Linked DNA regions of Daphnia pulex. The protein of the gene in region 2 interacts with the protein of the main gene of each other region in a pairwise test. Links are inferred from orthologs where the notes say so. Each region holds a gene or a part of one and is shown on either strand. Other genes may lie near its edges.

Region 1 (3,759 bases), on a different chromosome or scaffold from region 2:
TGCTTACTTGAAAAATTAACGGCTCCGAATTAAGTAATAATAATGTCATTAGGTTATACAGACATGTTAGTCTGTAAAGCCCAAAATTATTCTTAACGAATTCATTTTCGATGTAATTCAGTTTACGTTGAGATGGGCACATGAGCATGTCACTTCCTCTAAAACGACCAATAGAAGGCTGCAAATCATTACTACTAATATCTTGGGAGGAAGGATCAAAAACTCGTAAACGGTGAACAAGAGTGCTGCCATTCCCTTCGAAATCCTTAACACAATCAAGCCACACATTTTGCTGGGTGTAGGGGCGTACAGCTGCTGACACACTGACTTGTTGAATAGGATTATTTAGAAGTCCTACAGATTGTTGTAGAATGTGGTGATCAAGCTGTTCAAGCTGAGGATCATGTCCAAGCTTTTTCAGAACAACCTGCACAATCAATAAAAACACCAATATCACTTTCCCTTCATTTACCCTCAAGTTTTGCCACTGACAAAAATGGTGTCTTCTTTTGCAAAACATTCGAAAATAAAAAAATCCACAAATTTTTGAATAATTTAAAAGTGAAAAAGCCTTTTATAACTTACATGTTTATCCTTGAAGGTAGCAAAATAAACATTCTTTGTATTAAGCAATTGAGCTGCTTTAAATCTAGACCAAGTTTCTGGCACAATATCACCCATCAAGAAAGCGGGACATAACATAACTCCATAGCAAGCAGGACATTTTTTTAATTCAAGAAACTTTTCATCTGCTACATTCAAATATATTGGAATGGCTGATCTAAGAAGAGCAGTTGAGAAAACACCCAGAGTAACTACCCACACTAATAACGGTTTCATTCTCGAGCGAGATTTTATGTTTGGATATTTCAATATGCCCTCTTCACTATCTAATAGTTGTTGTTTTCCAACAATTTCGAAACTAAACTTTTCTTTAAATAACTGGGATTTTAAACGCATATTCAACGTTGAGCTAAAATTCTCAGAATCTAAATCACTTCGTCTTCTTCTCATGTCCATGTCCATGTCTTGTTTTGATATTGTTGATAAATTTCTAAAACCTATTGCCAGTTTGGGAAAATATTTACACCTTGTTGCCGCTAACTGAGTGTGATCTCAAAAAATGTTTAACTTATTCGTTAAAATTAAGGAGTATTTTTATCTTTAAATTTAAATTTAAATTCATTAATTTTCACTCCATAAAATGTTTGATTATCTGATTTTAAAGAAATGTCAACTTACTATTAGTATGCAATTTTGGCCGACAGATAGCACTTGTGTTTCACCCATGATGATGGCGATGGATTTTGTGTGTTGAAAGTTTTGTCTTGGGTTTTATTATACATCATAACTTGTTATAAAATCTTTTGGAAGTGGGTGTGGAACTATTTTCAAGTTTTGTGTACTGAATCAAGTCATGGCGTCACACGATAATAATGCGAAAGGACGTTTGCAGACTTACAAGAATCAGGGCAAAGACGTGGAGGTAAGGCCGATGACACAATTAAGTTTCTTTTAGGTCTTGTGTTTGTATCGTCGAATATGGCTCTGTTATCGAGGTTCAACTTATGTGTAATTAAATGATGCTTTTATATTTACAGGAGATGAGAAGAAGAAGGAATGAAGTTACAGTAGAACTGAGGAAAAACAAGAGGGAGGAAACTCTTCTCAAGAAACGAAATGTGCCTAACACTGACTCTACAGGTACACTTTAGCATTGTTTGTTAGAATATTTATATTGATGTAGAGACAAAATCTTTTTTGTTATGGGAAAGCTGATGTTGACTTTTCACTCGTTTACTTTTGTAGTGTTTACACGACTCATCTGTTTTTTCGAGTTTAATGTTCTTTGCTTGTTTTTAATAAAATTGCTAGATGAATTTAGACAATTTACACTTACAATTAGATCTAAAAAATTAACATCATTGAAATTAAATACATGGGAAATGAGTGTTGTAACTGAACAATTTAACTATTTTACATCATGACTAATTCATTCATTCAAAATTACATAATCATGTATCTCAATGCCAATAGATGAGGATGAAGCAGAAAGAGGCCTTTCGTTAGCGGGCTTAGAACAGATTGTTGCTAATGCATCAAGTCCTGATCCTGATATCCAATTAGCAGCCGTGCAAGCTGCTCGAAAGCTCCTGTCTTCGGATCGTAATCCACCCATTGATGCGCTCATTCAAAGCGGAGTTCTACCAGTATTTGTTAAATGCTTAGAACGCCAAGACAAGTATGACATCGCAAAACGAACATATTCTCGAAAGAAAGACCTCTAAAGTATAACTGTAATATTTTATTATTTTAGTGCCGCTCTCCAGTTTGAAGCAGCTTGGGCTTTAACCAATATTGCTTCTGGAACATCTGCCCAAACTCAAGTATGTGACATAAAAATCCAGTACGTCAGTTAGAAACTTAAAATAAAAATTACACTTATTTTTAATGAATAGGCGGTTGTGGAGGCGAACGCAGTTCCCCTGTTTCTGATGCTTCTCCACTCACCTCATCCAAATGTGTGCGAACAGGCCGTTTGGGCACTGGGAAACATAATAGGCGACGGCCCACATTTGCGAGACTATGTTATAAGTCTGGGTGTCGTACCAATCTTACTGGGTTTCGTGACAGACACAATACCCATTAGCTTCCTTCGTAATGTGGCATGGGTTATCGTGAACCTCTGTCGCAATAAAGATCCCCCTCCTCATGTTGACACTATTCGTGAACTGCTGCCGGCTCTTAATACCCTGATCCATCATACCGACACCAATGTAAGATCAAATAATCAGTGGAATTCCGTAACTGGCAAATTCAAATCTTTAATTTCTACACGCAGATTTTGGTCGACACAGTTTGGGCACTTAGTTACTTGACCGACGGAGGGAACGAGCAAATTCAGATGGTTATCGATAATGGTGTGGTGCCAAGCTTGGTGCCTCTTCTTTCTCATAAAGATGTCAAGGTAATTGCTACTTTACGCCTAGTCTGGCATTCGATTTTATTTTCTTCAATGGTATAATTGTAATTTTAAAATTCTAGGTTCAAACAGCTGCATTGAGAGCTGTGGGCAACATAGTCACAGGTACCGATGCACAAACTCAATGCGTCCTGAATTGCGACGCGCTGGCTCATTTTCAGACTCTATTGAATCACCATAAAGAGAAAATTAACAAGGTAACCAATATTATTATTATTATTTTGTACTTTATTTTTCCAATACTTTTACCATTTTGTGATTTTTCTCTACTAGGAAGCTTTGTGGTTCCTTTCGAACGTAACAGCAGGAAATCAACAACAAGTTCAAGCTGTTATTGATGCTGGGCTAGTTCCACTGATAGTCCAACATTTGTCAAGGGTAAACTTATTTCACTCAAGTTATTATTTTTGTTATTGATGATCATTTGTTCTGTTTTTTTAATGGCGTGTTTTCAGGGAGAATTTCAAACACAAAAGGAAGCTGCATGGGCTGTAACTAATCTGACGATCAGTGGACGAAAACAGCAAGTGGCTTATCTAGTTCAGTGTGGTGTTATTTCTCCTTTCTGTCATCTCTTATCATGTAAAGATCCCCAGGTAAAACTTGATTTTTAAATTTTATATGTATCAATACTAACCGGTATTTTAATGCATTTCAGGTTATTCAAGTTGTTTTGGACGGCATTTCGAACGTTCTGCGCATGGCTGCACCGGGTCAGGAAAGAGATTCCGTTGCGACTTTGATAGAAGAGTGCGGAGGTATTGTGAAGTTACATA
Region 2 (3,378 bases):
TCGCTTATCCTCGCCAGAGCCAAACACCCGGAGCAGTGATGCCGTCGTACACGCAACAACCGACTCAGGGCCAGCGAGAGATGCGACGGGCGTCGGATCCAGTCCGGCCGATGGCTGCTCAAACGGCGGTTCCTCTTCCGCCACTCAACTCCGCACTGCAGAGACACCACAGCGTCAACAACGTACAACAGCAGCCGATGATGCTCCGTACAGCTACCGCCACAGGGACTAACAATCCGGCCGCCCGCGGTGTCAACGGGTATCCTCCCAACCACCCCAACAGCGGAATCGTCTTGGAAGAAGTCGGTGAGGGTCACATGGTCGAAGAGAAGCTTGTCGTTCCTGACGAAATGCTCCAGTATCTCAATCAGGTAAGAATTGAACGACTAATTAATCGATTAAAATTGTTCTCTAACGGATTTGAATTTTGTTTTTAAAAAGGTGAGCGTCAATCAAGATGGAAGAATGGCCTCTCCACGATCCTACTTTATGGGTCGAAGCCCTCGACCGGATTCGGCTCCGCACAACCAGTTCAGGGCGATGCAACAACAACACCAACAGCAACAGTTCCACCAATTTCAGCAGCAACAACAGCAGCAACAACAGCAGCAACAACAACAACAACAGCAAATGACTAATCAGTACAATCCAGCGACAATGATGGGCAGTCACAATTATCCAGGTCACCATCAGCCCAACAATACCATGGTTGGCTACAACAACGGAGCCGTCATGCACATTAGTCCGACGCCTTCCGCTCGCAATCAACTGGGAATGCAAGCCAGTCCGGCATTGGCGGCCACAGCTCCTCAGCACTTCAATGGGCCGGCCGTTTGCCATCAAGCTCAAGTTGGCCAGCCTCAAGGCCAACAGCAACAAGCTCCTGCGATGTACGGCACCTGCCCAGCTCAACAACAATCACCTGTCGTCGCCAGCGGTGTGGTGGCAGCCCAGCAAGGGCAACAACAACCAAATATGGTCGGATGTAACGTCATGCAGCCGTCAAACTACTCGCAGGCTGGAGCCAACTACGGGCCAGCCCACGCGGCCGGCGTCAATGCCATGCCTTACAACAACTACAACAACCAACAACCTGCCATGGCGATGAATAATGGCTACATGATGAATCAACAATGCGGTCATATGCAAGCCGCCCAACAACAAGCCAATCCGGTTGCCCAGGGATTCAACAATCCTTGCTCTCCGTGCACCGGCCATCATCACCAACAGCCCCAGCCCGTCTGCAACAACAATCCGGGAAACAACCAAAATTGGCAATGCGGATATCCCACCCCCAACAACATGACGCAACAACAACAGCAACACCATCAGGCGATGCCGTTCCCCCAGCAGCAACAACACAATAATGTTGCGTGGCAGAACAACGCCATGCAAGGTCCAGGAAACGGAGCGTCCAACGTCCAGGTTCCGCCGACCAATGCTCAGTCTTTGATGTACAACAACATGCAGAGCAACGCTGCGATGGCCTACAACAACTATCCTCGTCCGCCACCTTACAGCCAAGTGGCATCCGCCATTCAATGCCAAGATGTGAGCCAGTCTCAAGATTTCATCAACCGAGCTCGCGTTCAAGGAGCTGCCCAGCAGCAGGGGCCATCAGCTACCCCGGTCCAGCAGCAGCACAGCCAGCAGATTAACAACGCGGCCACAGCCGTTCCGTCTGTGGCTACCGGTGTCACAACGCCGAGTAATATGCGTCCTGAGACGTACCAGCGCACATTGGAATATGTCCAGCAGTGCCAATCTTGGTCATCGACAGGAGACGGCAACAATGGCGGACGAGCGGCTAAGGAGAACAAACCACCCCAGCAGCAACAACAACAACAACCTGGGGCTTGCGAGCCTCAAATGACCAAGACGGCCGAGACGGCCGCTGTCGGACGGGCCTTGCTTTCCCCTGGCCAGGACGCCGTTTCCAGCTCAACGGATCGACAGGAAGCGGCGGCGGCGGCGGCTGCTGCAGCTCTGTTGCCTTCCTCGGCCAACAACATGGTTGTTAACGACATGAACACTTCACTCAATTCGCTGATGCAGGAGAACCGTTTCTTGCAAATGATTCAGTAGTATAGCAACTGTTGCGTACTCTGCTTCTTCTTCTTTCTCGTTGAGTGAGTTCTAGTGCAATAAGCTGGGCAAACCGCACGCCAATCAGAGCCGACAAATTCGTCTCTTTTGGCTGGGCTCCGATGGAACAAGACTGCGTGTGAAGATCTCGCCTCAATTACTCTTTGTTTTTGTTTTTTTAATTATTATTTCTTATTTGTTCAGTGCTGCCTACGTGTCTTAATAATAATTTGAATATTCTTGTACATTAAATTGTGTTCCGTGGAGACTCAATGACGTGCGCCGAGTGCCAAAAGGGGAAGAAAAAACAATTTTGGCCGTTATTTCGTATATACTGTGTGTGTGTGTGGTTTGTGTCTCTGCCTTACTTTTGCAGCTGTTACTTCCCCCTTTTTTGGGTTTGGGAGGTGTTTTTGTGGGAGGGGAGATGTGTATATGTGTGCCTTTGCGTGTCCTTGTTTCTCGTGCCTGTTCGAATAATATTTGTTGTGATACTGCCTTTTTCGAATTAGTTTGTTTGCTCCATCAATCATATCTCCGGTGCCTTGACAGCTTAATGATTTTGCTGCAGTGCCATATCGGAGCGCCTTGGTACCATGACAGTTGTATAATGATGTGAACATCATCATATATATATATTCTCTTGAACAGCAAGATTTTTTGCATGTGGACTGGCCCAAATGGCAGCCTATGAATTGTGCTTTGTGGTACTTGAAAACTGTACTTACATGTTCAATAAAATAAACTGTATGTCTGTTGAAATGTTACAGTCTCTCTATTTTTCACAATCATATACACTAACATACATTCTAAATCATCCCCTATATGGCGTGTTGTTGTGCATAAAGGTGTCCTTTGTTATATGGAGTCCTGCCACACATAAAGAATAATAAAAGGCAATTAGATAAAGAATGAAGATCACAATCTCAAGGTATAAATTACTGAAAGTGTTTTCTTCGGTGGGGGTGACCTGCACAACACTTGTCCGTAGAATTTCCTCTGCTTGGTTTCCAAGCTTGATTAACTGCCAAAAAAATAACAGGGTATCACTTGGAATGTCGGCACGAAACGAGAATGATCAACTTACTTCTGCTATTGCTTCTTGACTTGATATTCTCTGATATTTTCGGAATTCAGAATTGATTTTCAGGCGAGCGGCTATAATGTAAATAATTAAAATTCATCAATTAACCTGATATATGACTACATTTCTTATTATTTGTCATATTTCGAAAGAAATTCCTACCATCCATGGCGACTTGATCATTGGTAAACACTTTGGTACGAGTTCGA

The links.
Region 1: the proteins of zinc finger protein GLI2-like (region 2) and importin subunit alpha-3-like interact in a two-hybrid assay, tested with the Drosophila melanogaster proteins (2 studies listed by BioGRID). The link is inferred for Daphnia pulex from reciprocal best matches to the Drosophila melanogaster genes ci and Kap-alpha3.

The regions. Positions count from the first base shown.
Region 1 is NC_060026.1:3,869,619-3,873,377, forward strand, and holds the start of importin subunit alpha-3-like, read left to right. Parts: upstream 1-1,251; 5' UTR 1,252-1,417; coding exon 1,418-1,486; intron 1,487-1,601; coding exon 1,602-1,704; intron 1,705-2,037; coding exon 2,038-2,242; intron 2,243-2,317; coding exon 2,318-2,387; intron 2,388-2,459; coding exon 2,460-2,777; intron 2,778-2,842; coding exon 2,843-2,968; intron 2,969-3,045; coding exon 3,046-3,180; intron 3,181-3,256; coding exon 3,257-3,361; intron 3,362-3,438; coding exon 3,439-3,579; intron 3,580-3,641; coding exon 3,642-3,741; intron 3,742-3,759. Other genes in the region: divergent protein kinase domain 2A-like, read right to left, coding at 8-427, 586-1,026.
Region 2 is NC_060017.1:6,877,423-6,880,800, forward strand, and holds the end of zinc finger protein GLI2-like, read left to right. Parts: coding exon 1-371; intron 372-441; coding exon 442-2,085; 3' UTR 2,086-2,847; downstream 2,848-3,378. Other genes in the region: complex III assembly factor LYRM7-like, read right to left, coding at 2,900-2,955, 3,028-3,109, 3,173-3,243, 3,332-3,378. UniProt on the Drosophila melanogaster protein: Has a dual function as a transcriptional activator and a repressor of the hedgehog (Hh) pathway. The full-length ci form (ciFL), acts as an activator (ciA) while ciR, its C-terminally truncated form, acts as a repressor. Involved in segment polarity.